2 linked regions of the Caenorhabditis elegans genome follow. The protein of the gene in region 1 interacts with the protein of each later gene in a pairwise test. Each region holds a gene or a part of one and is shown in the gene's direction. Other genes may lie near its edges. The genes, in order: srv-5 and end-3.

Evidence for each region.
Region 2: the proteins of srv-5 (region 1) and end-3 interact in a two-hybrid assay, tested with the Caenorhabditis elegans proteins (one large-scale study listed by BioGRID).

Annotation. Positions count from the first base shown.
Region 1 is NC_003284.9:4,243,906-4,260,720, forward strand, and holds srv-5 (Serpentine receptor class gamma), read left to right. Parts: upstream 1-8,450; coding exon 8,451-8,588; intron 8,589-8,685; coding exon 8,686-8,832; intron 8,833-8,884; coding exon 8,885-8,974; intron 8,975-9,119; coding exon 9,120-9,275; intron 9,276-9,324; coding exon 9,325-9,441; intron 9,442-9,612; coding exon 9,613-9,773; intron 9,774-9,921; coding exon 9,922-10,029; intron 10,030-10,083; coding exon 10,084-10,180; downstream 10,181-16,815. Other genes in the region: F48D6.4 (28S ribosomal protein S36, mitochondrial), read right to left, coding at 2,832-2,931, 2,983-3,111, 3,162-3,229; hlh-13 (Helix-loop-helix protein 13), read left to right, coding at 5,420-5,605, 5,666-5,772, 6,552-6,640, 6,688-6,749; taf-11.1 (Transcription initiation factor TFIID subunit 11), read left to right, coding at 11,272-11,393, 11,441-11,741, 11,792-11,878, 11,978-12,090, 12,361-12,504, 12,553-12,823; srv-6 (Serpentine receptor class gamma), read left to right, coding at 13,156-13,293, 13,343-13,489, 13,979-14,068, 14,114-14,269, 14,316-14,429, 14,705-14,859, 14,947-15,054, 15,105-15,189; C52B9.4 (GOST seven transmembrane domain-containing protein), read left to right, coding at 16,749-16,815.
Region 2 is NC_003283.11:14,006,206-14,022,319, forward strand, and holds end-3 (GATA-type domain-containing protein), read left to right. Parts: upstream 1-8,489; 5' UTR 8,490-8,495; coding exon 8,496-8,751; intron 8,752-8,806; coding exon 8,807-8,896; intron 8,897-8,943; coding exon 8,944-9,199; intron 9,200-9,518; coding exon 9,519-9,645; 3' UTR 9,646-9,772; downstream 9,773-16,114. Other genes in the region: ddx-17 (RNA helicase), read right to left, coding at 2,895-2,946, 3,046-3,260, 3,306-3,403, 4,150-4,209, 4,255-4,600, 4,647-5,544, 5,595-5,611; aip-1 (AN1-type domain-containing protein), read left to right, coding at 6,374-6,431, 6,483-6,577, 6,625-6,699, 6,757-6,977, 7,025-7,082, 7,134-7,235; srh-308 (Serpentine Receptor, class H), read right to left, coding at 9,773-9,948, 9,992-10,295, 10,346-10,539, 11,053-11,371; mtl-2 (Metallothionein-2), read right to left, coding at 12,166-12,341, 12,399-12,414; T08G5.1 (Titin), read left to right, coding at 12,995-13,037, 13,082-13,150, 13,425-13,848, 13,892-13,976, 14,023-14,127; T08G5.15 (T20D4.11-like domain-containing protein), read right to left, coding at 16,077-16,114.

The DNA of each region.
Region 1 (16,815 bases):
TGGCTGAAAATCAGAATTGCAAAAGATGGAATTTTTTGGAAATTTTGGAGTTTCGCCGTTTAAGTTAAATCTTCCGGATTTTCTGAATCTATAAGTGGAATAGGATCTTTCATAAATAAATTATAATACATCACAGGTAAATTCAGATCTATCAACTGTGGCAGATCGGATTAGGTTTTATCTATGACAGATAATATTCCAGCGATGGAGTTCGAGGCAGGTCATAAGAATTTTGGATTCTATTGTTGGAATCAGATATGTTGTAACTTGATTTTGATCTACAACAAGCGGATTATGATCAATCAGCTGTGGAAGATCGGACTCCAACTATGGAGTCTAGAACATTTTCTGACTCCTTAGGTGGGATCTGATATATATGATGCATTATGATCTACCACGGATGAAATGTGAACATTTAGCTGTGTAAAGTCGGAAGACCAGATTTCGCCTATAGAAAGTAGGTTTTTACCTGTAGAGTCCTACCAGATTTTTACCAGAATAACAAAATGATTTGCCACAAAAGTACTAACAAATAATTAAGAAAAAATTCACTTTTTCATTAGAATACTCTGATTAAAGTTTTGAATAGTTAAAAATTATGTCTGAAGTTTTATTTTCCATTACAAATGTTGTACTATTCTTTTCCAGATTTTATATGTACCGGTCAATTTTTTGTTTTTCTCGTATTCATTACACCCACGCGGAAAAAATTAGCTTCTCTACCCTTCAGTGTTTTGTTGTACCCCGGTATTCTTATCAGACAAAAGGGCACTGGTGGGTATTGTCAGATTTTTGAACCATGTGACTTTGAATCGACCAAATTTTGTAGCTTTGTAGAATAAAAAAGAACAAAGTCCAACAACGTGATCCATTCGACTATCCGCAATCAAAAAGCGACCTTGTTTGAAATGTGTCCATAAATTTTGGAGGAAATTGCTTGACCACACATGCATTCACCAAAAGAAAAACCACAACATCAACCATCCCAATTCTCAGTTTAAGAAATAGAACAAACAAGTGAAAAACACAGCAGCAGCAGCAGCTGATGGTTGATTGTAATCAAAAATATCAAAAAAGAAAACAATTCAAACATTATATTACACTGGGTATACTACATTTGTTTCCCCCTTCCCTCACTTCATCCTGATGTTTTTTTCAGAAATATCTATCACCAAAGAACATTTATTCAATTTTCTGCTCGAAAAACTCTAAATTGACAACCAACAACATTTTGAATTTCCTTTGTTCGCAATATTTCAGACACGTTTTTAGGGTTGTTTATGAAACACTGGTTGCCCGGTGATAACACTTGTTGCCACCTCAAACATATGTGTCTAAAATTAGTTAGATAGTATCAAACAGCTGACACAAAGAACTATCACAATTATAGATGAATCTGCAAGAAGGTTACTTGTTTTGGCTGACTTTTTTTGAATGGCAAGTTAGGAGAATCGCGTGATGGGAATAAACAGATAAATATGGTGAGCCGAATGTGCATCATTTTGTGGGGTGACTTTTTGTTTTATTTTTTTCACGTCGTTTCGTTGAAAACTGATAAGAAATAAGCGGGAAAAAGTGTTCGTTGAAAACCTAGTCTGATCATTTGATATTAAAATTCCAAGAACAAAATGGACAGTTGATATTACAAGAAAAAGAGTTAAGTAAAGACATACGGCACGTAAAATGATAATTTGGATAAGATAAACTCTGAAAACTGCAAAACAAAGGCGTGACAAAAATTTTGGTTAAAAAGTTTGTAAAAAAATCAAAATTTAAAAATAGTGCCAGAGGGGAAAATTAACAAAAACCACTTTTATGGTGTCAAAATTATCAAATGTTATATTAAAACTTTTCAATTTTTTTTTTGAAAAATTGTTATTGGAAGTTATTGTAGCGATAACTGTATTCTTGACATTTTTAAGAAAACTAAAGCACTCTCGCATGTTTGAATTCTTACAATGGTTTGATATTAATTTTCGACACAAAAGTTGATCATAAAATTTTAAGGAAAATGTTTTCTTGACCGATGACTTCCAAAAAAGTGGCAAAACTTAGTGATTATCAGTTATTGGAACATAATATGAAATTTTTATTTTGGCACCATAGAAGTGATTTTTAATAATTTTCCCACTGGCGCTACAAAATATTATATCAAAATGTTGTTGCTGAAAAATGTTCTGAATGAAATTTTCGAGGTGCTAGTGGTACCTCATAAAACATTTTTGTTGCTAATTTGAGGTAAAATATACATTTTTCAAAGTTCTGAAATTTTCGACGAGCATTAAAAAAAACATTCAAAAATTGAGGTGCCAACTTGTTGTTACTACATTTTGTTGGACAATTTTATCGAAAAATGGTTCAAGTTAAAATGTTAATCTTCCAAATTTTTCTCAGATGACATCCGAAATATATTCTGCAAACTTTCATATCCAGACAACAACCGGTCCCCCGTATTTTCGGAAGATTGCGAATTTCTCTCTCAATTTTATCTTTTCAATCCCTGCTGCCAACAACACAACACACCACACGTGTTGCCTTTTGTTGCCGATGAAACCTGATAAATTTTCAATGGACTTTTATCCAACACTTTCACACATTTGTTATAGTTTCAGGTTTTTTCATGTGTTTATGTCTTTATCGGCAGCAGTCACCATCAAGTAGTCGTTTATTTTCAAATTGTACATCGGCAAAAAATCACAAATAGAAACAGTGTAAAGTGTAAAGCAATGTGTTTTCAAATGAAGAGAGTACAAATGTTCCTACTCTAGTACAATATATTAATTAATTACAATCACATCTTGTAGATGATAGAAGTTGGGAAAAGAAATTATTTAAAAACGAAGGTTTGTGAGCTTTAGAAAAGCGCATTGTCGGTCTTGTTCTTCTTTTATCAACTTTTCGCAGTTCAATTGAATGAAGTCGTCACTGTTTCTGGAACACTGAATAACCTAGGGATTTTTGATAAACTACAGCTATACTTACGGGTTCGACACTTTTTCGGTTTTTGGGAATCCGAATTTCAAGTGTGTCGATTCATCGTGAATTCGGATGTTCATTTTTGGCTGGTCCATCATTTTTGGCTCTGCTGGGCGGAAGGTGGCTGAGCTGATTCTGAAATTTTCAATGGTTTTTTAAAAAGATTTTTACTATCCAAAACTTACGCTTCTCTTGTCATGAATTGGTTGAAAACTGCAGATTGAGCAACACGGACAAGTTTTGGAGTCGACATTTTCAAATTGTTTGTGTGTATTTGTGAAACTGAATATCAGGTGGCTGATGAGAGGCTCAGTCTTCAATAGCCTGCTTTTATACGCGATCTACGCCAAAGAGGCGGGGTGGCGGCTCCGATTATCGGGGCGAAGACGGCGAGGACAAAGTATACGATCGGTGATGGGAAAGATAAGAAATAGTGTGGGGAAGCGGTGGAGATGCGACCCGGCCCCTTTGGTGGGAGTATGAACAGGTACTCTTATTATTATGTTCTCCAATTTTGGTCATTGTTTTTGACAAGTGATGTCATGCCACGTAGCAACAACCGAAAGTTTGCGAGGGGAGTAAGGTCCGAAGTAAGGTCCGCAGGAAACAATGAATGAAATGAAGGGATCATAGATTATTAAGGGAAACTGATAAGGCACAATGAAAGGCAATAGTAAATGATCTAAAATAAGTTCATGTTCACATTGACTAATTGGAAACTGAACTATAGTCAGAGGAATATTGTGATGTCATTAATTCTTGGATTAATTTTCTATTCAACTGATTGGAACAGGTTTTTTCGACCAAAGATTATTTATTATCACTGAAAAATGACCCATAAAGTGTTCGTTGGGTGTTGTCAGAAAGCTAGTGGAAAATGTTGTAAAAAACTAAGTTAATAAACTAACTGGTGATGTTGGAAGTTACCGAACGCGGAAACCTTTGGCACCTGGCAACTGTCGGCTGCAGGAAGTACGGCAACTTTGCAACAACATGGCATTCAAGTTGTCTAAGCTTAGATCTTTTGTATATCATATTTTTGTCTTTTTTTCAACTTTTCGAAAAACATTTCTCACAAATACCTGAAGTTGTTCCTCAGAAAAAATTGAATAAATCCAACAAAGATAATCGAAAAACTTTAGATTTAATGTTTTCAGGTCAAGCTGATCTTCTGAATATAACTTTTTTTGCGCCCACGCTTCCAAGAGCCCAGAAGCTTAGACACTTTTGTTTTGTATGAACAGTTGAATTTAGTACTGTACTTTCATGCACAAACTTTCAGATTTAGAAGTGAATTTTTTGCCATCTTGCAATTCACGCCTTTTGGAAGGTACAATAAACATGATTGATGCTAGAAAAACGTGGAAATTTGCTGGAAATGTTCTATGTGAACAACAACGCGTACATCTGACCTGCAGAGAACAGGTGTCACTATTTGGACCGTGATCTTGGCCACCGATCTTTTGAACCTTCTCGACGAAAACGATTTTCTAATAAACAAACATCATTTGTGACTCTAAAAGACCAAGTATAAACTGAAAATTCGTCACATTTTATAAAAGAAAACAGTTCAAGTAAACGCGGAAAATATCAGCGTCTGTCAACGGCCAGTGGAGTTAATTCGAGGACATGTTGTCAAGACCCCTCACTTCTATAAATAGTAATAATCTTTTGTTTACATTCTTCCAACGGACAATTTAATATTACTGTATTGATAAATGATGGAAGTTGAGGACAAAATAAAACAATGAAAACGTCAAAAAAGGTGTTTTGCCTGTAATAACTTTTATCTGTAAAACTTGTGTATCAACAACTCTCGGTTCGAGCGAAGATTGCTTCCCAGAAAACACTTGATCACAAGTGCGATGTTGTGGAAAACAATTCGAACCGGTTCCGATTTTTCTCGATATTTTTGCAATGTAGTCGCACAATAAAACAAATGTGTCTGGGTTTTACATTGAGGCTTCAGTTTAGAATGTTTTTAGAATGTGACAAGAAATTGAAGAAAAATTATCTTGTTGAAACAAATTAGGATAAGAAGATTTGAACACTTGATAACATTAATTTTACATAATGAAGTTTTGGTTTTAAGCAAGGGTCTTTACAAATCACGTTCAGTTTTTTTTTAAATCTCATTACAAATTTTTACAAATCACTGGCGTTAATTTATATTCAGGAATACCCTTCTTAATCTATGATAGTGGAAAACTTTGTGAAGAAAACTGTTGGGTGACATTTTGTTTTTAACTGCATCAATCAAAAACGTCAGTTTTCAAAAATGCATGTTATACTACTTTGCCCGAATTTAAATTCCTCGTACATATAACTCTCAACCCATTCGTCTCTGTCTTTCAAATGCAACACGTCAGCCTGTTGCCACCACCCGGCCTCTTTTCTAACGGACCAATTACAATTGTGAATTCGAGCAGAACCACTTATGTAAATGACAGCTTCATCTTCTGGGTGTGGCGGTTTACCAGTTTCCCAGTGTCCCTCTTATTCCTCACTTTCAAAGCTCTTCTTTATGGATTCATCGTATGATTCATATTACTGCGAGGAGCCCGAGGAGCGACAAACTGCTTCAATTCGTGAGAGGAAGAGAATGTGTAGTATTAATGTGGCATTTATTGTAAGTTCAAAAAAAAAATTTTTTTTTTTGAGGTATTTCTATTTTTAATCTAATTTTCAGGAGCTCCGCAATTATATTCCAACATTTCCTTATGAAAAACGGCTCTCTAAAATTGATACCTTGAACCTGGCAATTGCATATATCAATATGTTGGATGACGTTCTGAGGTGTCTTTTTTTGTTGTATTTTGTTCCGTGAATTGTTGAAACGTGAAATTCATAAAAAACTTATGCTATTGATGAAATGTAAAAAGTTGAACTATAATAATAGGGATTAAAACTCGCGATTTTGAAAGTCTATGAGTTTTCAGAAATAATTTAACAAAATTGGTTATATATCCAATACTGTAAAAAATGATACCTAAATTTGACAGCATATTGAAAAAAATTAAACATTTTTCAGTGTTTTTCTTTCTAATAATATTTTTAGTTACTCCAAAAGTTTAATCTAAAAAAAAATTTTTTTGGGAAATTTTGAAATAGAAAATTAGAAAATAAATGTTCAATGAGTTTTATCTCACATGTATTTCTTGAAAAAAAAGGGTTGGTTTGATGTATTTCTGAAATTATCTAAATGTTCAACTTTTTGTTACAGTTTTCAGTGTTCAGTTTTTTCCGTATTTTGCGATTGCACCAAGTACGACTAAAATAACAAGGAAGTTATTGCCACTTTCATTGCTTAGTGAAATAGTCTCATTCTCAGAATAAATCAGGTTATTATGTTTCGAACCGGAGTGAAAATTAATAAATAAGAATTGAAAAATCTTTTGGGTTACTATAAAATGGATTATCGTAGTTCTACTAAAATGTTAGAGTCAACTATAATTGCAAACGAGAACTTAAGGTAAAATTTTTCAATAAATGTAGAAATAAAATTTATAAAAAACCTTTGAAGTTATGTGTTTTGGGACCTTTTTTTTGAAATTCACAAAAATATTTAATTCCAGAACACCCGAAGATTCTGGTCAGTATATTCAAAAGTGTGTTCATATGGCTCGCACAGGTCAAATCGGTGCACCAGCGTGGAGTACAAGTGGTATAGTCACAAACTTGCAAAACCCGGAAAAAAAATCAAAAATTCAGATTTGCTAGCCCGGCTCAATTGGATCAAGTGGCGTCGTCTTGGAATCGAGCCGATTGCCTAAACAAACTCTGTGTATGCGTAAACGGCAGAAAGCAAAATACCTTTTAATTGTATTTTCCACGAATACAACTCATGATTTTCTATCTTTCATTTCAATAAACATACTGATTACATTTATTGTGCCATTTCTTTGAAAAACCTTTAAAAATCTTACAAAACACATCTAGATTTTATCGTAAACTCTGGAACCTAAAATTTTCCTTTTCCAAAGCCTCAATTTTAAAGAAATTTCAACTAGGAAATGTCATGCGTGACTCCACCTACATATATAAACTTCGAATTCTTTTTCTGACTTTGATATTCTTGATCTTATCATCTTCACGTTTCTGTTTCATTGTACTTTTTTTTTGAAATTAGAGAATTTTTGAAATTCACACGTTTTTCCACAAAATTCATTTTCAGTTCCATTTCGGTTCTTACACAAAAACCAATGAAACTACTTTTATACAAATTTCTGCATAGGTTTTATCGCGTGTCTTGTTGATGCCATATTCTGAAACCAACAAGTTTTGCGATCAAAAATGAGCGTTTCATAAGAAAGAAAATGCGAAAAATGACTATTAAGAAAGCGTTATTATATGATTAAACTGCCACCGATAACGACTTCCATTCCGCAAAATACCTTACCCGCGCAACTTATAATAAAATCAGTTCCAAGTCTAAAACAGATTTCATTTTTTCACGGCTTCCAGTATCCGCCTTTGCCTGCACTTTTTCGAGCAAGCCAATTTTATGACCACCTCGTGGTATTCTGCATAACTCGACACAACAATAAATTATAAAGTTTGTTGTTTACATTGTTTTATCTTACTTTTTCAGTTTAACTGATATTTCTGAGCATAATATTTTCGAGTAATATTAAGTTTGTAAAGTTTAGTTTTTAATACATAATTGTACTTTAACAATTCTTCTAAAAAAAGAGAGTTCATACAGAGCAACTGTTAATACTGTAAATAGTAAAGCAATTGTATGTGTAAATGTAGGAAAACGAATCTTGTTTGCTCATATCATTTGAAATCATCAGATTTTCAAAATATCACTCAAAAAGCTGTGTATTATTCTTTGTTCACATGAAATCTGGAATCTGCCAACGCAAAATGAGTAACAAGAAAAATTTTGGGTGCGCGTCTATAAGCTTTCAGAAAAATCCTGCATGAAACTAGGATTTTCTCCTGTTTTACTTTTTTTTTCTAAGAATACTTTTCATCAAGAAAAGTAAATGGTGAGAAACACTAGAATAACTTCTTGAGGAAATCACTGGAAACTTAAAGGTGCACACGCAAAATTTTCCTTTTTTAAAACCACCGCATATTTCTTTGGAAAGTTTTTTTGTTTATTGAATGTAAACAGTACGACGGTTGCGGTATAGTTATAAGTTATAGGTCCGAGCAGGTGTTCAGACTCCGTTCTCTAATATTTCTTTAAAGTATTATTTTTCACAAGTGTTCCAATAGAAGTGGAAACAATAAAAGCAATGAAAAATATGGGGATAACAAGTCACTTGGGAATTCACACTAATGTATCACCTTCTAAGAAAAAAAATCACATAACAACTATACAGTTTCCACTTATTAACTATTTTCATACTTATTTAGTTTCGTGTTATAGTTTTCATAGTTTTTTAATTTGTATTAACATTACCAGAAACTTCACTGCACCATAAAACTTAACACTACTTTTCTATTCAATATTATTTCAGATTATGCCGGCTTTGCAATGGTTTTTATTCATTTCCAGTTTAATTTCAATTTTAATTTACACTATGATCGTTTTCACTTTAAAACGTCATCGATCAAATGCTCTACTTGGCGGTTCCTTTTTTAGAATTGTGGAAATGCAGGTAGATCTTTGAAATATAAGTAAACATCACACTTGATCAGAAATTTCACCAGAAAGAAAATTATATTATGGAGAAATATCAAAAGATTAATTTTCAGTATTATGCGGAACTATTTTTCTTCGTCGAATTTTCAATCACCATGCGCTTCAGAAAATATAGCTCGCTTTATGCATTTTTCGAGCCAGACACGGAATTTCACGGTATCATTCCGCGTATTGTGTCTGGATTTCATTATTATATTAAGGTAAGGTTGAATTCAAAAATTACATTTTTCTATTTTTTCTATTTTATTTCAGATTGTGGTATACATTGGGTATCTAACGTTTGCTCTGAATCGACTCACTTCCGCACTCAATATATCATCATATAACAGTGTGAATATTTCAGTATGACATTAACTTTCAATACTTAGCCCTAGTCTTCTTGATCTGTCAATGAGTTTCCTTCGTGTGTCATTATCAGTTTCAACGTGGTTTTGCATGTTTTTCAACCAATTCAAAATTACTCATTACAAATAAATGTTTTTTTCAGATTTGGACTCCAAAGCTTTTACAGCGAGTCAGAATAGTGAAATGGGCACTGCCTTTAATAGGAATTCTACCAACTCATGCTTGGCCGGGTTTTACTTATTGGTTTATGATAACTTCTTCATCTATACGATTAACAAATGATTCCTTATCCACAGCGGTATAATGCTTACTGAGAATTTGAGATAATAATTACTTTATAATTTCAGCTTGTTGCATACGTTGACGGAATTTGTTGTCTTGGAACGTGTGTTTTCTGCATGATTTGCTATACTGCAACGTGTTTCTTGATACGGAAAAATTGGAAACGTGTGAAAACTGACACGGTTTGTTGAGTTCAAAGTTTATTTTGGTAAAACTTTAAAGAACGATCCGTTACCACTTTGGATCAGAAAGTCAGGAACAGCCTCCCCAGGTGGTGCTTCCAGCTATTGTCGTCCTAACATAAATCAAAATCTCAGCCTTAAAAACATTTAGAAAAATATCTGTACTTTAAGGTATTCCGAAAAAACAATGCACAATCTGCTGCAGAAAGAAGTCTACTTGTTTCCGCCATTTTATCATTTATCGTGTTAATATTGAACACTGCTGTACAAGTTGTTACCATTTTAATATCCTGGGGTGGTGCGACAACATTACTTTTTGTTCAAGACCTCTCGTAAGTCATAGTTTTTCCAGAAAATTGTCATCACAAACCAGGAACTGGAAAAAAATTAATCTCATTCGACCTTCTAGAACAAACACATTAAATATATAAGAGTGTTTTGCTGTGCCCAAACAGCTGGTGAAACTTTAATAATTTTCAGATATCCTATGATTGATCTTATGTATTCCCATTTTCCATGGGCGTTATTAGTCACGTCGGGAGTTCTGAGGAAGCAAATGATTTACGATACAAAAATTTTCCTACGAACGTAATATTTATCTGGTGAAGGGTAGCATCTTTCAAAAAATGTTTTAAATTTCAGGGCTTTCAAGCTTGACGATGCATCGGTGAACACAATACGGGTTGGGCATACTGTATCTCCCGCCACACAGAAAACAACAAATAGGACGCTGGCTTAATTGGTTTACGTGTAGTTTTAGGCACTTTTGAAACAGCATTGTCACTGTTAACTATTGTTTGGAATGTTGTTATAAAAAATTTGAATGTGTACTCATTTAATTTACAACTGAATTATGGGTTTAGCTGAATTTTTCAGGAAACAAAATGTTTTTTACTAAGGAACAACGGAAGGTCCAAAGAATTTCATGAACAATTACAATGGGAAATTTAAATTCACATTGTGAAAATTTTTTTACAGCGACTTTCTCATAATAAAGTCTAATTTTGAGCAAAATCATTAGAGTTTTGAACTCACCGGTTTTTACTACCTTGTTTTGTAGTAAACTTATCAGAGTGAACCCAGTTTGGCTTTTGTGAATGAATATAGCAGTTGCATGATCAAGACCCAATGATGTATGGGAAACACAGTAAATTAATGCAAATGGGAATGCAATGTATTGTCATTGCAGCGGATGTGGCAAGATCACCACGCATCTCCAAAAACCGTATTTGGAATTCTAATTTCAAGTATCAGTGTGCTAATTTACAAACAAATAGTTAGTTTTTGGTCCAAAAGTTCACAAAATTTTATTTAAAATAGTACTGCTATATTTGAATGATTAGACTATTTGAAATATTCTCAAATGTTTTCATGGTACACGTGTTTCAAGAACTCACATTTTCAGTGAACTTAATGTCTAATTTCTGCTTTTTCAGATTTTTTTTTGTTGATATTTTTGGATTTTCGAATTCTCAAGTTTCATCAATTAAAAAAAAATTTAATGAGTATGAAATTTGTTTGGTAAAACAAAAAATCTCCAAATGTTAATCCTCTTATTCCTCCCAACCATTGTGTTTCTCAATTAGACAAATCGTCAGTGTCTCGAGTGCCCTTCGTCAATCGATAAACTGACCTCTGTCTTCCCAACCAACACACTGAGACGCGCTCTCCACACAACGCTGGCCTAGAATTCTCCATTGCCGCGTCCTCTCGACTGCACACACATTCAAACACACACTCTTTGCCCGGTTTAATACAGTTTTGCATTTTTCTCACGAATAACGACGGTTTTTTTTTTCCATTTTTTATTGTCTGTTTTATAGAATAAAAATGAATGCCAACGATTTGTTTGGTGGCCTTAGTGAGAGCAGTGGGAGCAGTGACGAAGACGACGACACTGTGATGCCACAACCAACAGGCGCTCACAATGTGCTTGCAGATTTGGAGCTCAGGTAATCTTTGCTTATATTATTAAAATTATATCATATTATTTTTTCAGCGATGACGATGGAGATGAGGATTTTTCAAGAGATGGAATGCGCTCTGACGAAAACCAAATTTCGCCGGGACAGGAGTCCGTACCAACTCCGATCACACCGAGAGCACCAGTCGTCTTTTCACTTTCCGACGGAGAGGATTCTATGGATATGCCGGACATCGACCAGATGATGATGAAACGGAATGCCGCTGCTGCCGCGGCCGCTGCTGCAGAAGAGCAAGCTGCTCGAGAAGCTGAAGCTGATAGAGTTGCGGAGGCGAACAGAGCTGCGGAAACCGCCAAGACTGCTGAGAAGCGAAAAGTGAGTCATTTCTTGTTTCCCGACGATGTATAATTATAATATAATTGTAGATTGATAAAATTTCAAAAAGCGAGCCACCAAGAAAGCAGCCACGTCATGATGATAACTCTGAAGCTGGGCCCAGCGGGCAGATTTCGGTACGTAAAATCTGTGATACTTAACTAATTCAAAAAGAAATGGACTGAATATATTGGTTACCCAATATTAATCGCCGATGAAACACTTTTCAATTACAGGGAGACGACGACCTTCTGGACACAAACATTTCGCTGGAAAGCTTCGACTTGAGCAAAGTAAACGATGCAAGGTACCAAGCATTGATTCAACAACATCAGCCGGAAGAAGAAGCGTAAGATTTTATAGAAGAAGTATCGATGCGTTTATATAAGAACAAAAAGCACCCAAACGGACAAATTTCGTATGGAGACTTCTCAAAAACTTCCTCAAATTTTTTTGACCGTTCACAATCTTGAGAAAACACTAATTTTAGCCAACATTTCCAATTTTGCAACGTTTGCGTGTCGCAGCAGTATATAAATATAAATGAGTAGAATCCAGAATTAATATAACTCCTTTAACACGCTGGCACATTCGATTATCTAATTTATTCATTTTTCAGGCCTGGCCCCTCACGTCCAGCACCAGCTCGTCCAGCGCGGAAACTTGACGATGAAGAAGAAAATGAGCTTTCGCGATTGAAGACACAAGTTTTGCTTTCCAACTTTTCACAAGAGCAACTGGAAAGATATGAGTCATACAGACGGTAATATTGGTAATAAAACACAAAAAAATAATAAATGATGAACTTCAGCTCTTCATTCCAAAAGTCGACTATTCGCCGTTTGATCAGTCAGTACACTGGAGGAGTGAACGTTGGACAGAGTGTGGTCATCGCTATCGCAGGATTGGCTAAGGTGTTCGTCGGTGAAGTTGTCGAAGAAGCATTGGATATTCGTGACATAAATGAGGAAGAAGCTAGCAATCCACTACAGCCGCATCATATTCGTCAAGCGTTCCTCCGGCTCGGAGAGCAAGGAAAGCTATTCCCACCAATTGGTCCGAAACAATCCCATCTTGAGTGAATAATTATTTTTCTTTGGTTTTCCGTTTCATTTTTATTGCTTTGTTTTACATATAATCAGATTCTAATGAAAAAAAGTAATCACTGACTGCCTATGTGGAAACAGAAAACTTTAAGTTACATTTTGACCGGAAATTTGTTTCTCTGACATTTCAAAAAATGTCACGTGCACAAATATCAACATAGAACTAACTAGAAATATATCTAACCAACTTATTTTTTCTGAAAGCAGTGATCAACAATTTGCCGTTACATAATTGTAGATGTCGGCGCAGTTTAGTTTGACACGGACACTCGCCAACTCTCAATGTGCTCTGACCAGTCTGACTCGCGATGCCTTTGGAGCAAACGTTGCTTTTCATATTAGGCCTGATTTCAGCTCTTTTATATTCAATGATTGTGAGAACACTTAGAAAACATAGAAAAACATCTCTTCTCGGAGGAACTTTCTTCAAGCTTGTTGAGCTGCAGGTATAATAACTTTCTCCTAGAAATCTTTTTTATTAAATACTCTTTACAGTTTTACGCTGAATTAGTTTTCTTTATCGAATTTTCGATCACAATGCGGTTCCGAAAGTATACAGATTTTTACATGCTGTTTGAGCCAGATACAGTATTTATTGGTATTATTCCGCGAATTATTTCTGGCATACATTACTACATTAAGGTATATTTTTTAGTGATCTGGAAAACGTTTTCAAAAATTAAATAAATCCGCCGAGTTTCATAATCAGACCTTGAGAAGTCGTTAAAAGTCGTTAAAACATAGTTCAAAAAAAGAGTAAACTATGAATAATGCGGTAATTGAGCTTACTAGTTCTCCACGTTTTTGTACGTAGAGACTCCGGCTTTTTTGAGAAAATGTATGTTAAAGCTCATAAGTACCAAAATTCGTCATGCTTTGTGCACCTGAAAGTCAACAAACTATTATACAAACACCAACACAACCCGTAGAATTAACGATTAAAATGTGCAAAATGAATTATAAATTTATTAAAAATTATCTTTCAGCTATCTAGTATAGGCTAGTAAAAGTGGAGGTTATAGCTAAATTTTAACTTTTTCTGTTCAATTTTTTGAATTTCGGAGTTATGTAAAAAGCAACTAACGTAGCTACTTTGCTAATAAAAGTAATCAACAAATGCACATTTTCCAGCTTGTTGTCTACATAGGTTATTTGTTTTTTGCTGTTAATCGACTTTTCACCGCTTTGATGGTGTCTTCATACGACAAGGATAACATTTCGGTTTGTTGAAATTCCAAAATTTTCAATATTTATTATGTCTTTCAGGTATGGGGTACAAAAACATTGCAGCGGATAGCCATTGTTCAGTGGTCTATTCCAATTCTTGGACTTCTGCCAACACATGCGTGGCCCAATTTTGACTTTTACCTTCTCATTACTCCAACTGCAATGCGGCTGAATAACGATGCAGTTTCAACAGCGGTATTCAAAAAAAAATATTAGTTGAAAATTATTGTTCAAACTTCAGCTAATTGCCTACATTGACGGAATGTGTTGTTTGGTGACTTGTGCATTTTGTATGATTTGTTACATTATAACAATGATACTCATTAAAAAGAATTGGAAGAAAAGCTCAAACACGGTACAAAATTTTCAGATTTTCAAATCAGAGGTGCGCGGCAATTTTTCATAATTGCCGATTATCGAAGTTTTCGAAAATCGGCAAGCGCTAAAATTTCCCAAAAAAAGTAATATTTTCTGCAAATTTAGGCGCTTTTAAATTTGTTTTTATTGTTCACTTTTTAAGTTGAAAATTCAAAAACCATCGAATGTTTTTTTTTTTCATATTTGGCAACTGTTGCAACTGCCCGAAATTTCCAATTACTGTTCATCCCTGCTATACCATTCAATTTTAAGGTCTTCAAGAAAACAGGCGCAACTGCAGAACGAAGCCTATTCATTTCTTCATTTTTATCGTTTTGTGTCCTAATGCTAAACTTGACTGTGCAAATATTGAAAATTTGTATTTCTCTGGGTGGAATGACGAATATATTTTCAGTTTACGATGTTTCGTGAGTTTATCCAAAAACAAAAACCGTGACTTGTCTCACTAATCCCGGTAGTTGAAAATCGTTGTAACTCTGAATTATAATTTGTAGGTATCCCATGGTGGACTTAATGTACTCACATTATCCTTGGGTACTTCTCGTGACTTCATCTGTTCTTAGACGTCAACTTATATACGATGTGAAGATGCTTATAAGAAAGTAAGTGGATTTTTGTGTGCGTGGGGGTCATAATGAAGTTAAACTTATAGCTCACTGAAACTGGACGAAGCATCAATGAGCCTGTCTCGTGGCGGACAAACGAATGCCGTCTCAAAAACGACACCTGCAACTTGACCAAACAATTTTCGCTTTCGTTCTATATTTGGAAGAATAAAGACCACTTTGTTCTCATGTTTTTTATCTAGGATGCAATCTTTTTTCTTATTTCACGGTGTTTCTCTTTTTTTTCCCGATTTTTTTCCTGATTCTTCAGTGGCTGCCTGCATAATTGCATAATTTCATTAGTTTAGTTTAGTTTTTTTTTAAATTTAATTTTTTAAGCAGTATGGGATAAACTGATTTTTTAAATGAAATTTTCAAGGCTCTGTTTACAGTATAAAAAACATGGCAAAATCAAAAGGATTTATTATGATCCTAAATATTCAAATTCAAAAATTTCCGAATTAGAGGCGATTCGGGCAGAATTTTATTTCAGACTTGTTTTGTTCAAACCAGTATCTATCGCTTTGGATTTTCTGGAGTATCACAAGTGAGGGATGCACTTGAATATAGTGCTAGAAAAAGCAAACATTCTAGTTAAACTTTTGAAAAATGTCGGACATTTTTTATTGTGTTCATTTAAAAAGTTGAAAAAATCCGTTTGTAATTTTTTTACAATTTTTATACTAAAGTTTAGCTCCTTTGTATCTGAACATCGTAAAAGTTCAAACCAGCAACATTACTTAAAATTTCACAAAAAGTCCAGATTTCTTGAACATTTTGAATTTTTTGTTATGATTTTTGAGTATTTATTTGTGATAATGATGTTAAACTGCAAATCTTCAAAAATAATGCTAAAGCGCTAAGAGACCATTTTGTAAAAATTTGGCGCCGTCGTAGAACAGAAGTAGAAGAAGAAAAACAGGCAGTATTAAAGTCGTCTATTCAACTTTAACAAAATTTTTAACTCTCGTCTATGTTTGAAGCTTGAGATATAAATTATTTACATAAACATAATACATAAATATAAGCCAATCAAAAAAAAATTCGAAGATTAATTCAATCATTTCCGCCAATTTACTGATTTTTATTCAATTATTCGGGGTAGGTACACAAATTTGTCAAATATTTGGTTTCTATCAAAAAAAAAACTTGTGTTCACAAAATAACGTGAATCTATCAAATTGTGCTAAATAGGAGAATAATCAAATTAAACAATCTTTTCAGCCGCTTACAGGATTCCAAAACTGAAGATTTTTTAAAAGTTTATATTTGATGTCAGAAAGGAAAAATTACACAGCACAGAACTATTCAATTTATCCAAAAATGCAATGTTTGATTCATTTTGTTTTGCAAATTTTTTTTTTTAAAAATAAAGTTATATGGACATACATATAATACACATGTTTTCTGTTGTAAGCGAATTATTATCCCTTGTATATTCTCACACATTTCCGCCATCTTCCATCTTAAAAATAAACATACGGCGTACGCCGTTCCCTCTGCTGCTGTCCCACTGCTGCAAGTCCGCAATGTGTCGTCAATTCCGATGTGTGCACCCGCGGTGACGTTTGCGGTACACACACGCAAGTTGCTAAGCCACACACGTTCGTCGACTCTATTTCTCGTCCGTGCTCATTGATTTTTAGAACTTAAATTAGTTTTTACAAATAATTTATTGTTAATTTTCAGGTATGAAAACCGTAACCCTACTACTGGCGTTAATTAGCCATGTAGCCTCTAATCTTTTAATGCCCGGAA
Region 2 (16,114 bases), on another chromosome or scaffold:
TTTTTTGAAAAAGGTAGAAGAAATGTTTCGATTTTTTGCCAAAAATACAGGTACTCGGTCTCGACACGACAAACTTTTGTTAAATGAAAAAGGATGTGCGCCTTTAAGGAGTACTGTAAGTTCAAACTTTCGTTGCTGCCAAAAAATAGTACTTTAATTTTTTAAGTAAATTTTTCAAATAAATACATCGTTATCGAAAAACTATGAAAAGTCGATAAATATTCCACAGCAACGCATATTTCAAATTACAGTACTCTTTGAAGACGCACATTCGTTTGTATTTTACAAAAAAAAAGCGCATAGATACCGGGCATCGTATTCTTGGACCAAAAATCGCAAAATGTCGCACCTGAATAATAGGAAATTAATAGAGATAGTTGTTTTTTTGCAATTTCAAATCTATTTTCTGGTCTGTAAAGTGATCCATGTTTACGGTTGTGTAATAAATAAATTTCTATAGAATGCAATTCTGATTTGAAATCAAAAGAACCAGAGTTATTTTTTATGATCAAAAGCTCAAAAATTCAGTAATCGACAGGTGAAACATAATTTCAGGCACTATAAAACCAGTAATTAGCTGTATAAATGTGAGTGGTCTGGAGAAAAAAAAAAAAAGAAAACAAGACAATTTTCCAGAGTGATGAGAAAAACGAGGAGGAAGGGGAAAACACAGAAAAAAAGTCTTCGGCCTCCGTTAGTATTGGCATTCTGCCAAATAGAAGAAGAAGACTGAGGACACGAATGAGAGAGGGGACCCGGCTCCCTTCTATTCACTTTTTCTCTATTTCTCTCTCTCTCTCCTATTCCGCTTAGACGGCTTCAGGCCGCCGCCGCGGAGAGAATGCGCGGACACTAGACATTTTCAGCTTCTATGTCTCTCACTTATTTTAGTGTGAGTGGAATTGAATGGGAAAGAAATGAGGGATTATGGAAGACAATGAGATACGCAGATGGAGAGAGATTCATTGGACTAATTCCGCAGAAAAGAATTCACAGGTGTGCAAAGTGTGTGCTTTTTTCACTACAGTGCTCTTCAGTGACGAGAAAAGTTTAACTGTGATGAACCAGATTACTACCGTGATTAGTGGCACGATTTGAGAAAAGAAAAGATGAACTGAAACCAAAAACTGGGCTTGAATGATTATACCGTAATCCTCACTTGTCTTCAGTTAGTTCTCTTGCTGATTTTAGCAAACTGAATACGGTTTTGGCGGTTTTTTTGGTAATGAATGGAGCCTTTCTTAATTTTCGTCTTTTGTTAAACTGAGACTTCAAAAGAACATGTCGTACGGCCTCAACAGACACTGCCAGATTCATCTCGCTCCTACTTTTCAAGCAAGTCACTGTTCAATTGGATGCTCGACGAACGATTTTTCGCTTGGGTCTGACAGAAAGAAAAGGTGTGCGACCAGAAGACTTTTTCGTGCAATAAGCGGCAGGATTGGAAGTATATCGAGTGATCATATCTCTCAAACGTTTCAAATCACGAAAAATATGACGATTCGAGAAGCCTTGAGATAATTTGGCACAATTTGTCCTTTTTCGTAGTCAGTTGAAGTTATTCCACGACCCATAGCTGTAAAAACACAAACGAACATGAAACTTAACGTTTAGCAAAAAAAATTGCAAAGAAAACGAAAAAAGAAAACAAAAACCAAAGGTGGCCGTTTCATTTTGTGGATTTTTTAATATGGTTTTTCATGAAAAAATGGTTTATCTTTTTTACGAACGGTTCAGGTATATTTCCAATACTTATCTGAAAGTAAGTTAGTACAGCGAACATTTTCACAAGAAACTATGTTTTGCTATCTCAACCCAGTTTTGAGTTATACCAAAATTTGGGGGTGGCCGTATCATTATGTGGAGCACTGTAGATACTAGAAAAAATTTATAACATTTTTCTAATTTCTAATGATTTTTTTTTCAATTTTTTTAAATGGAAAAGTGGCCACCAGAAATACGATTTTATGGAAAAGTGGCTCTAGGGCCATTATATTTTTAAAATTACAGAAATATTTTGAAATAAATTCTCTAAATACTTTTAGCTTTATATTAATGAAAAACTTAGTTTATAAACATATAATATACAAGCTCTACTGCAAAAAGAGTTGTTTGCTCACCATGTTCGAGAACAAAAAGCTTCCACTTCCGGTACACATCTGTCAATTGCCATTGGGTCTCGAAACGATCATGTCAGTTTTTTGTTCAAGTTTGCAAGGAAAAAAATGCGATTGGCCTAAAAACTGACGCAATCGTCTCTACAAAAGATCAATTGTCTGTGGCGCCCCGCCAACGAGAAAACTGTACTTCAATGCCGCCCATCTATCTCTCACTTTTCACATATCGATTGCAATAGAATAGACTGAATTAATAGAAAAGAAGGTCTCGAGAAGAAGAATTTCAATGCCTACAAGAACTGACGAACACAGAACCTGAAGAGCCTGTGTCGTTTTAAGGATACAAAAATGAAAAACAAGAAATCCGCGTGCCAACAATAGGAAAAGACAAAGAGCAAACAGGAAAAGTGGGGGACAACAGCCAAAACACAAAAATATATTTCAATTTTTTCCATCAACATCAATATTTATTTTCTTCAAAAGATCTTATATTAAAGAAACAATCTTTGAAACAAAACTGTTTCCATTGCAGCCGAGTTACACAAAACGCAATGATAAAACTAGATGGATATTATTAAAAGTTTGGAGGGAGATGACAGTTACTGATTAAAACAAAAATAAAATATGGGCACAACGCTCAAAAAAACAAAGAGTAAGAAAGTAAAAAGTAAAAAAGAATAAAAATGAGGAGAAGTTCAGAGTTCCATTAAAACCGAACGAACGAGATCTGAATTATCGTTTAAATGTCGGAAGTGAGTGAGAAGATATGTAGATCGTCTACCATCGGCCACCTCCACCGCTGCCTCCACCGTATCCTCCGTTGTCATATCTGAAAATTACAGGATTTAATTTTATTCGAAATTAGGTGCGATTTCAAAAATCCGTTATCATATTCCACTTTTTTATTTCTAATCACAAAAACACGTACCGTGGCCTCTTTGGAGCAAAGTTATCGTTTCCTCCGTATCCTCTCTTCTGGAAACCACCACCTCCATAGCGACCCCTTGAGTTGCTACCTCCGTAACTGCGGTTTGCCATATCACGAAGAGCTTGTGGAACAGTCTGCTTAGCCTCATCGAGAACCTTCAACAGATCCTTTGCCTTGGAAGCGTTTGTATGAGTGAAGAAAGTGTAGGCGGTTCCCTGAAAAACAAATCATGAAATATTGAATTTTCTCTACTAATTTACCTTTTTGTCACTACGACCAGTACGACCGATTCTGTGAACATAGTCTTCAGAGTTGTTTGGATAATCATAGTTGATCACGAATTTGATATCATCGACATCTAAAATTGTTAAATTAAAATTACTGTAAAACAAATTAGAGCAAAAAGCGTGAACGACGCTTTCTCTCAACCAGGTGAACCAAGAAGAATAAACACGAGTGAACCGAAACAGTGAATTGCCATTTAAACTCCTCTCTCCGGATAAGCCGGGAAATAAATCCATTCCAATAATTTTTTAATTATTAACAGGTTCCAGATGCGTATAAAACCTAGTTCACCAGGTTGAGAGCAATCACCACAGGGAGACCGCCGATACAACTCTGACTAAGCTATACGTACTTACGCACCTGAACCCAGAATTCTAAAGATGGGAATGGGGAAGAGGAGAAAAATTCGACGGAGTCACTGATGAGTCATCGGAACAGCCTGCACAAGCCACAACAGCACTCAATGTATATGACTGCAATACTGGCGGCTTGCGAAACTGAACCGCTTTCTTCGACTCGATGTGTAGATTTCATTCACAGAGCACCAGAAGGTACTCTCTGCCACTACACATCTGCAACGTATGATATGATAACGTCACAAGACGCTGCCAAAATCAACTGCATTGCATTTCGATCAATCCTCTCGGCCAAATCAAGTTGGTGTAACTGTAAAGGGTCAAATAAATCACAAATATGGCTGAATACCATGCTATTGTAACGATTGTCAAGAAAACTGGAAGCCAGAAACTCCTGAAACCGACTTTTCTAATATGTGACATCTAAAATTTGACCCTTTCTAGGTTGGCGCGACAAACTAACCCAATCCACGCGCGGCAACATCGGTGGCCAACATGATTGGTGTTTTTCCTGCTTTGAATTCTGAAAAATGTATTTATAACAAAATAATTGGTAACTTTAACTAACCTTGAAGAACCCAGTCTCTTTCTCCTTGGTTTTTGTCACCGTGAATACAGAGAGTTGGCCATCCATCGCGACGCATAGCACGAGTCAATTCATCGGCTTTCCGCTTTGTCTCAACAAAAATAATGGTTTTGCATTCCTTTTGATTCATGATATGATTGAGGAGCTCCATGAGTTTGGCTTGCTTTGCATGTTCTTCGAGAATATCGACGACTTGTGTGATGTTGTGATTGGCAGCGAGCTCAAGGGATCCGACGTTGAGGAAAGCAGCGTCTTTCTGGAAATCTGAAGCCAACGCACGAACTTCCTTTGGCCATGTGGCGGAGAACATGAGTGTTTGTCTGTCTGGCTGAAAAAATATATATTAAAACACAATTACAACAGATTCAACTTACGCGAATCTGTCCGATGATTTTCTTGATTTGTGGTTCGAAACCCATATCAAGCATACGATCGGCTTCATCAAGAACCAAGTAAGAGCACTTCTTCATGTTGGTAGTTCCGTTATCAAGGAAATCGAGAAGACGTCCCGGAGTGGCAACAACGATATCAACTCCACGCTCGAGATCACGAGCTTGTGGTCCTTTGGATGCTCCTCCGAAGAGACAGGTCATCTTGAGTCCTAACGAGTGGCAGAAATCGATTGATACTTCTTGAACTTGTTGAGCCAATTCACGAGTTGGAAGCAAAACAAGAACGGCTGGTCCTTCTCCGCGTTGACGGTGAGCCTGTTTTGTGATGTGGACGAGAGCTGGGAGCATGAAGGCAAGTGTTTTTCCGGAACCAGTTTTGGCGATAGAGATAATATCACGTCCGCTCATGGCAATCGGCCAGGAGATTGACTGAATAACTGTTGGTTTCTGGAACTTTCCGTACAAAAGCTCGTGAATCTGTCCTGGCAATGGTGCCTCGTTGAATTCGAAAACCGGGCGTGGGACACCACGGCCTTCGAGAGTAACTTGATTTGCTGATACCCATTGATCAATCTCATACTGCTCACGGCGGGATACGGCTGCATTCTCGTGATAGAAATCCTTCTCAATCGGAGTAAGGTTCTCGGCAGACCAGTCGACATCGCGAAGGCGTCCTCCAGCTGAACCATTGGATCCTCCACGACCTCCTCCACGGCCACCGCCGCCATAACCACCTCCTCCGTAGCCTCCACCGCCACCTCCTCCATATCCACCACCACGACCACCGCTGTATCCTCCGCCGCCGCCACCACGGCCTCCACCTCCATATCCTCCGCGGGATCCACCACCGCTGCTTCCTCCATAGCTTCTAGAACCTCCGCTGAAAAAGAAAAACAATTATGCACGTCAATAATCGATAAGTCAACTTACTATCCTCTGTCTCCCATTGTCTTTTTTATATGAGTTTGAAATGCGAACTTCTGGTCGTGCAACGGCTGCTGCGAAAATAAATATCGACTTCGATTAGTAGACCTCTCGTTTGGCTCGTCTTCCTTTGATACAGAAGCACGCGCTGACGAATTACAAGTTTTAAATTGATTCGCAGCGCTGAGAAAACGAGTAGCAAACGAGAACGGACGGATTGAAGAGACCCAAATTTTCGACGAAATTCGGTTGTTTTACCCTATAAAACACAAGTGGGGCCAAAATAACCAAGTGAGTATTTTGCGTCACACCGTGCAAGAAGGGGGAAAAATAATGGGAAAAACAACTTTTAAATCGTTCGAAAAATCGAATTTAGAAAGAAAAAACAGAAAAAGATGAAAGGTTTTGGGACAAATGCGAGAGACGAAAATCAAAAAAAGCGGGAGAAGGAGGTGCAAAGCGGTTTCGCTGTGAGACCCACCGCACGTTTAATGTCATGCGCCTTTAATCCAGCTGTACGCAGTGACGTCACGAAATACTGAAAGCGTCACGTTTTCTAGCGAATCAGCTGATATTGATTTCAAAAATCTTGAAATTGAATTATTCAATTTTTTCTCGTTCTAAAAAGTCCAAAAGCTTTCAATAATATATAAAAATCAATAATTTCGTAACCCGATGTCTGGCATTTCTGGTAAATTCTAGAATTTTTCCAATTGTCATCATTTCTTGTGTTTAAAAGTCTATATTCTCTCGTTTCCTATCAATATCGTTTGCTTTATTCAGCTATGGCGGAGTTCCCAAATCTCGGAAAGCACTGTGAGAGCACAGTTTGCAACAGACTTGGTAAGTCAACATTTAAAAAAAATTAATTAAATAAAAAAATAATTATTTCAGATTTTCTTCCAATCAAATGCTCCGGTTGTGGACATTTCTACTGCTCAGAGCACTTCACATTTGAGGCTCATAATTGTCCGACTGGCTCAAGAATTGTAAGTGTTTGAAAATCTTTTTTTAGATTAAAATTATTAAATTTCAGTCCGTTCAAGTTCCTATTTGTCCTATATGTGAGAAGCCAGTTCCAACGCCGAAAGATGTCAATGTTGATCAACAAGTAATTATTTTGAAATTATTCCTGCAAAAATATTGATAAAAATTGTTTCTTTTTCAGGTCAATGAGCACATTCAGAACAATTGTCAGACTCCGAAACGTGCAAAAGTATATTCAAACGCGTGTACCGTCCCAAAATGCAAGAAGAAAGAGCTGGTAGCCATGAATTGCTCAAAATGTCGAAACAACTACTGCCTTTCTCACAGACACGAGCGGGATCACAGTTGTGAGCGAAAAGTTGGCGAAATGAAGATAAATCAGAAAAAGAGCTGGACGGATTCGTAAGTTTATTGTTTTGAATAAATCGAATTTCAAGGTATTTTTCCAGAATCACATCAATCGCGCGTTCCCGAATGAATCCATGTTCCGCACAAGCAAGAACAGAGGTTTGTATCTATTTTCAAAAAAACAACTAACTAAATCACAAATGTTTCCAGGGAGATGAAGCTCTGGCTCGTTCTCTACAACAAGAAGAATACAATCGAGTTGCACCGCCGCATCAAACAAGAAATTCCAATTCCAACTGCACCGTCTCATAGCATCCAATTTAGTGTATATTTATTTCCCTTCTCATATTTTCTGTACAATTTGCATTTCTCTTCAACCTTGTTCTAGTTCATATCCGTGTCAAAACTTTTATTCATTTCACTTCGCCAACTTCAGTCCTACTAAAATATTGATTCTTTGTACAATGTTGAATACTTTTTCTTTTTTCTTGATATATGAAATTGTTCACCTGCTTTGAACTGTTGTTAATGGGTGTTCTGGGGTTCACAAAGTAAAATAAGAGTTTTGCAAACTTTTGACTGAAACGAAATTTGGACTTTTCAAACATTTTTTACCTAATTTTGAGAAATGCATCTTTTGGCTCAAAGGTGAGACTCACTGTGTAGGTCTCGACGCGAACAAAAAATATTTCGCGCAAAGGCGTGTGTTCCTTTAAATAGTACTGTCGCCAATTAATTTTTGCAGTTTCTACAGTATATCCCACGTGGTGTCAGAGTGTCCCATATCGGTTTGATCTTCGTAGATCTACGGGAATAGCGGTAATTTGACGCAGATTTCTCAACTACCAAAAATATTTGTTGGTTGAGAATTGAACAGAAAAAGAAGAAGAAAATACAAGCATGTCGAGCTTTACACAACTTTATCTAATAAATATTCAATTAATTTGGATCAGTTTTCTCTTTCAGCAATTACAAAAAATTTTGTTCCGTTAAAATTGTGAATGATTGGATTTGGAGAGAATCGAGTTTTTGGAAAAATAAAAAACAAGAGCAACGTGTTATGGTATTATTCATGTGATCTTTTAAAATGCAAACGTGTATTTTAATTTAATTGTTCCCCTATCAGAACCTCTCTAAATTTCACGTGTTTCAAATTCCCTCTTTTTCTCTCTACTCTTTCACTCTCGCACGTGAAAAACTTCTTTCCGAATGATAATTTGTGTTTAAAATGGAAATTTTATTGAAGTAAAATTTATGAAACAAATACTTTTAGTTTAAATCCGAGATGCACTTCTATTTGAGAGAGCCCACGGTAAATTAAAAAAGAAGTAAAAGTATACCAAACAAGTATGTTCCAAGTGTTCCGATGGCTCCGACAAAAGAGTATACACTGATTGTATAATCGGTTAGATGAATAGCTGAAAGTATACCACGTTCAAAGCACACCCCGCCTTGTGTCTCTTCTAGAAAAAGGCGGTTGCTGAAAAGTATACGGAACGCTGAGGCACGCCCTCTTCTTACCATGATTTGCTCCAAGATAAATGAATAGGCATTCTCATTCAAAGTATAAACATGTACTCGAACTCATTCTCTTCATCATCTTCATCTTCCAACTCACCAATGTCTTTTGATTTTGGATTCCCTCAGTTTCCCGAACAAGTCCAATTCAATGAAGAAGGCTACGGGACACCATCTCCAGATGTCCTCCAGAATATGAATTATCATCATTATCCGGCACAAGATATGACGACAAATTCATACAATGGAGGCTATGACAATTCAATGCAACAGAATTTTATGCAACCAGATAATGGTGCAGGATACTACAGTGAGTTTTAAAAAACTATTTTATTTTACTTTTATATTTAAAATTAATGTTTCAGATGAAAACTATCAACAGATGCCTGATTTTCAATTTCCAGTTCAAAATTTTGATTTTACAAATCAATTTGAATTCACGACGCCTATTAATGGTATAATTAACTATGAAACTTACAGCCTAATCTTAAATTTATTTTAGACCTCCAGCAATCTCAAACTTCCATCAACCACACCAATCCCGACAACAATGAAAATTCCATGCCAGAGATACCAATTGACGGGGGCTTCAACTTTTTTCCAGCTCAAGAAGTTCAAGAATGGAAGCCAGCTAGAAAAGCTTCGAAAAATAAAATCAAGAAGATTTCCACAATGCATATCAACTCTTCGTGCTCCAATTGTGGATGTCGGGAAACGAAATTGTGGAGGAGAAATGAGCAAGGAGAAACTGAGTGCAAGTAAGTTTGAATTATTTTGAATGTTCTATTTAAATTACGATTACAGTCAGTGAGAAAATGTTTAAAAATCATTCCTATGCTGATAAAGTTACCAGATACCGCAATGAAACTTTTTATCATCTTTTTGAAATGTTTTATTCATGTCGAAAAGTAGTAAAAACTCTTTTTTTAACCACTTATCGAGAAATTCAAAGCATTGTCTGTTTTTTGATCGACGATTTTCAAAAAAAAATTGGTGGAAATTTTTTTCACTATTTTTTGAGGGCTCTCTAGGTGTAAAAGTTTTGAACTTGAGTTTTTTAAATCTCATATTTTTCAGTCCGTGTAATCTTTACGAACGAGTCAAAGGACATAAAAGACCACAACATCTTTGGAATAAGCCAGCTGCCAAGAGAAGACGCCGTCCAGTTGCTCCACTTGTTGACTCTAATGCTTTTAATTTTTGATTTAACTGATCAACTCTGTGCAATAAGCATTATTATTTTTCTAATCAAACATGACCTTTCGGTTATAATTTAACTATTTGTTTTATTTCCCCTCTGCTGGTTTCCATAATAAATAAATAAAAAAACTTCATGCTCTTGATACTACAGTTTTCCAGATCAATTGTGAATTTCGAACAGCTTGTTCAGATTTGAAATGTAGTGTTGCAAGAATTGATTTCCTGTGTGGAGTGTGAACAATAAGCATGACTATAGTGGAAAGAACTCCATGACATGCAATTGCAATCATCGCAATGTTTGTGGCAGCTGGAAAAATGATTTTTTTTTTCAAATTTCAGCTTAATTTTACCTTGATTATAGTAATCATTTTCCGAAGCCATGACAAAATATGAAACTGGTAATGAGATGAATGCAACTGGAATAAATATTTGAATACACATTGAATAGAAGAATTGCTTTTGTAAGCGAGCAGTAGTTGCCGAGAGAGACACTGTTTGGGAAAAGTATCGAAAAATTGCTCCGAGAAAATACAATTTTTGGGGAAGACATATGAAGAACATGCTCAAAAGACAGGCATTGACTATTGTATTATCAGTGGCAAATACAAAATATTCCCGACGATTGAGAACTTCATTTGGAATACATGGATTTATCTGTAATTCACTTTTTGGTTAAAGCTTTCAAAAAAAAAACGAAAACTCACATTTTTCACATATTGCTTTGCTACTTCAGGATTCGGTAGTTTTAAATATGCGGGAATAATAAACGTCACTGATATAGTATAATTTAATACAACATATAAGGTACGTTTCCAGTTCAGTGATCCGTTTGTTGTATGCCCATGTATTAGTCGGTGATAGCGATCTTCGAAGAATATGGTTACAGCCACGCACATCACTGAAATATATTGAATTGTTCGGTTCCTCTCAAATTGAATAATTTAAAAAGGAATAGTAGCTTGAAAACCCTAGAGTAAACATTAAATTCGTAACTTGGGGAACTTGCTGTCAAACTTTGGCAGTTCTCTGTCCAACCTTCCAACAAACTTAGTCAATCTTCTGCCAAACTTTGGAAACTTTTGGTCAAACTTAGACAACCTACTGTAAAATTCTGGGATTTTTCTCTCAAACCTTGACAACTTACTCACTCTCGGAAGTTACAAAGGTTCGACAGAAAACTGCCGAAATTGGACAGAAAGTTGTCAAAGGTGCGTTGCCAAAATTTGGCACGAAGTTTTCTTTAAATAAAAAGCCAAAGACATCACAAAAAAATTGGGAATCAAATAATTTGTTATTGAGATTAGATTAATTCATATCGAAACTGAAAACATAATAAAGCTTCTGTTTTCAATAAGACGTTTTATATTTATTATACTATTACCATTAGTTAGCCAATTCAAAATAAACTAACCCCCAACAAAAACACATCCAAGATAAACCTGAACATCAGTTGGAATACCTAATATTAAAGAGAATCCAAGAGGATATCCTGAACTGACAGGTAGTGTTAGCATTGGAGATGCAATAAAGCTTAGATATAAATCGACGATTGCTCCCACAATGTGCAATAAGACCATGTTGAACTTTACAGAACATATTTTGCGCGGAGTTTTAGTTAAAATAATATATGCTCCGAACAATTGAACGGTCACTTCGATGGCTGTAGGTACGTGAAGAATTCCAGCATAGAACTCATCAGTCGCAAATAAATTAATATCCTCGGTGCACATTTTGAGGTATTGAGGTAATAAAGTAAATCACGGAGAGAAATTAAAAAGGGATAAAAGCTCATAATTTAGCTAGGAAACGTTTTCACCTGTTCTAAAACTGATCACTCAATAGGATAAGCTTTTCGCGTCTGAGATCTTTTGCACATGTTCTTTGGTAGTTTCCATCTAAACCCATTCAAACATATGAGATCAAAAGTTAGTAAATACTTTAAGCAAATTTCCAACAAAAAAATTCCAAAAATTTCCAAATGTTCGAGATATTGAAAATTGATAACCTCATTAAAAGTTTGGGCACAATTTTTAAATTTTCAGTCGCACTATTTGTAGTTTTTAACAATTTGGTTGATGCATTAATTGATTTATTAAGTGAAAAGCAGCTGAAAACAAACCACACAAAAATGTTTTTTCCTGGTTCTGAGATCTTTTGAATTAAGAAATAACACCTGACCCATTTGGGTCAAATGATTTTTCGTAATTTTCAAAATTGTCTTAACTTGATAAATGTTTTCCACTGTCTATAAAATTGATAATGGATTCAGTCTGTTCGGAAAAAGATTTATATTTTACTTGAAAAGGAACAAATCGTGTGAAGATCAAAAGTGATGATCAAAAGTTTTCCTTGAATTTTATCGCGATTCCCATAATTTTTGCTTCTGGTCGTTGACAAGGAAGACAGTTTAAAAATCTAAGAAATTACAATAAATATTTAACATTTATTTCAGCTTTCAAGAAAAAACCTCGAACAATATCAATTAGTAGGAATTTGTTTCAAAGGGAAGAGTATTAATTTCAAATTAATGAGCAGCCTGAGCACATTCGCAGTTGGCACACTTGCATCCTCCGGCACATCCAGATTTGCAGCATTTCTTCTCACTGGCAGTTGGGCAGCAGTATTGCTCACAGCACTTGGCGTCGGAGCAATCGCAATCTTTAGTTCCGGTGTTGCAGGAACAATTTTGGTTTTTGCAGTCTGGGAAAGGGGGTTTCATTCAAAATTAATTAAAAGCGTAATGAAATTTCAACTTACCACACTTGCAGACCATTTTTGAGTAGAGCCTTTGAAGCTTGATTCTCATGTCTGCTGGTAGGCCTTTTATATAAATTTTCAAGCGACAACCTATTTGAGGCAGCTGATAACAGCACAAGCCTATCACAATGTACAGTCACTGATAAAAGCTTTGAAAACTTCATTCAAATTTATCCAATTCTTCTGAACTTTATGAAGCAGTAAGTACATTGCGTGCACAATTATTTGGATTTTTGAAAATAAAATTTGATAGATTTTGAGCTATATTCTGAGAAGTTGAATTTTCCGTCACAACTCTAGTTTGTGATAGAGGCCTTTATCAGTTAGGTGTGTGAAGTCATGCCTCAAACATACTTGGTCACCTGCAGTACATAAAATTTCAGGTACAAACAAGATTACGGTAATTACTAGCTTTTCCTTGAAAATTAGAAATGAAACATGTAATTTTCCAACTACTGTACTTTTTAGAATAAAGTAGTCTCTGATCTACTCAGCTTCAGCTCATTAGCTATTCCATCAATTATTCTCACTTCCATGGTTACATCCCACGTTTGTTTCGTTCCACTGAACCATTTTCGTCTCTTTTTGTATTCTCTATGGGACAAAAAAGTTCCAGAACCGCTCCAGAACATGTAGAAGGTTTGAAATATTATTTAATTTAGAAAAGAAAACTGAGATTTCAGAAGATAGACATAGCGCCTGGGGAAGTGATATTGATGAAACATTATGTGGCCCAGGAACTCTTTGTGCAGGTTTGTAATTTTATTGTTTAACTTATGTTTAACCGTAATTAAAAAATTACCAATGTCAAATAATACTACACCGGTAAAGCGGGGTCCCCAAAAACAACCCTTCTGCGGCTGACTGATGAATAGGCTATTTCGGGCCAGCGGGCAAACTTCGAGGCTTGCTATTTTAATCCTGAAACAATTCCAGGCAGAAAACAAGAAAAAATTCTTCCTCCTTTTAGACACTATCGTGATATCCTGCCTTACCCGTAAAAGTGATTCAATTTTAAAATTTCAGACGACTGGACCCCATTCAACTCTGTGCCAACAAGCCCTGATTCTGTCAGAAGGCGCTTTAGTGAAGCTCGTCTTCAGGAAGATGTTATTACAGAGCAGCCAAGATTATTTGACAATCATTCTCGTGAACAAGATGACGATAGAATGATGAATTACGAAGTGATGACTATTCGGGAAGTTGAATCACCGATTATTCTACCTGGTCCAATTTACACAACGGAAACACATAAGAAGAAAAGAAAAGTGAAGAAACAGCCAAAGCGAATAGTTAGAAGAAAAATGAGAAAGCAAAGAAATACTTCAACTTCTCGAAATACTCAAAATAACGAGGATGTTACTGTATTAAGAAACTTTAATAGTATAAAGCACCATCAAAAACCCAGAAACATTGCATATCGTCCAAGACATCACTCCAGAAAAATTCGGTGAGCTCTGACACTCATTACACAACCATTTAAAATTTTTCAGAGTACATCAAGACCCACGTTATCCAACAATTCCTCCACCTACTATCAACTATGGTCTTAAATTCAGGAGGTGCCATCCGGATGATGTAAGTTTTGTGGATTTTATAGGCTAAATAATTCAAAATTTTCCAGAAAAATCGATTTGTAAAAGCAGTGCCACCGAGTCATCTGAAAGGAAAGTCAATATCCGCAAAACAACCATTTAGATATCGGGGAATCCCAAAAATTATAATGTGATTCCTGCTTTAATTTTTGAAAGTTGTATAATCAATTAAAGAATTTGAGAGCTCAAAAAATACCTTTTTACTTTTATAAAAGAAGAACAAATGAATATTTTATATGTAGTCACGTATAGATAGTAACACAAAATTAACGAATTTAATAACTAAATCTGAAATATAGAACTACAAACGTCTCTAGTATAAAAAGTAATCTGGCGACCACTGTTTTTTTAGAAATTAGAAACTTGATACTGAACCTTCAATTAAAATGTATAGTTTTGAGTTTAGCTTGTACTTGAAAAAATAATTTATTAACATATCCATGCTTGAAGTCGAGAATTCAAAAACATGTGATATCGCTGATAAGCCCTCATATTGCACGTGTTCCGAACTTCTTCCATCGAGCAACTGCTCACAGATTGAAGTTTTGAGCATTTCAACTCATGAAAGATTCTATCTGAAAGATTTGAGAAAGTTTTGAAGGCTCAACCTGATCCCAAATATCAATTTACCACAAACAGACAAAAAACTCAATAAATTTGCCAAATATTACTTTTTTTGAAATTCTACAATTCTTTCTAATTTCCTCATTTGAATTGCATCTGAATTTGACTGAACCACACTTATTTTCCCGTGACTCACTTTCGTTTTTATCATTTTTGCAACAATTTGTTTTATTTTTTGATATTTTTGATATTTTTTATTAGAGGGAAATGTATCACAAAATAATTTTTTTCACAGAAAACTCTAAAAAATATTTATCAAGTTTGTTGAATTCGAGAATACTTAATGTTTATTGGAGATAAAAAATTAAAAACTTAAATTTCTTTCAAACTTAATAAACTGTTCAAATTGTTTTCATATGGTGTTTCATTTTTTATTTTGTTTTATTTTTCAACATCTTTCAAACTCACATTAACATCGAGAACTGTTTCCATTGACTTTTTGAAGCATTTTCCATATTGGTCCTTCATTTTTAGAGCACATCTCCAGAAGATTTTGCTTGCAAAAAATTGGTAAAAACTGCAAAAGGATAGTAACTTCTCAACGGATTTCGCATCGTAGTCCATACATCTTTTGAGTACTGGAAAATTTGCCTAAAACTAAAATTTGGGTAGAAAAAATTGATTTGATTCACCAACCTCTATTGTGGAACAATATCCATTCATTCGTTCAATTTTTTTCGGGTTTTGTAGACTTGTTGAATTTTTGAAAGCAGCAACGCCATCAAAAGCATTGAGACATTTTTCTAATGCTGCCTGAGTTTTCGCTGATGTGCAGAATGAAAATTGATAGGCCGTGGTTATCTTCGAGTTTTGCGTGGAGCTTTTTTTAAAAATTTTATTGGGAGTTTTTGTATAGCTTGGAAATGATTTAGTTGCAGAAGTAAAATTAGCCACAATTTTTACATTTACTGTAACCAAAATAATAAGAAATTGAAAATAAAATAGCATACCTTTAGAGTTTGAAAATAAAAAAACTAGTGCTACAAAGTGTGGCCATTAATCATAGTTTCAATGTTTTTATTTATATAATCCCAGATTTGATCACTGTATTTTCAATCTTTGTTCAACATTCTACCATCCATTGGTTCAGTGTTTGACCATTCAAAAATATTTTTCAAGTTTGAATGATAGGTTTGGTAGTCGTGCCCTGTTGTGTATATTCACGTTAACTTTAATCAATTCTGAGGCAGCGAATTTTGAACAGGCTGACTTGAACTCGGCCAGGAGGCACAGAAACAAAAATAATTTTCAGATTTCATCTGTTTTCAAATAAATAGAATTGAAAGTGTACTTGAACATTGAAAGGTTCTCATAAATATTTTAGAGGATAACATTGTTTTTATCAAATATTCTCGAAAAATCTATCAGATGTTTTACAATCATCATATTAATATAGTTTTACACATTTACACAATAAATATTTACATTGAAATCATGAATACAACCAGGATAAAAATAATTAACACATCCATGTCTGTATATGACGATTCAAGAACA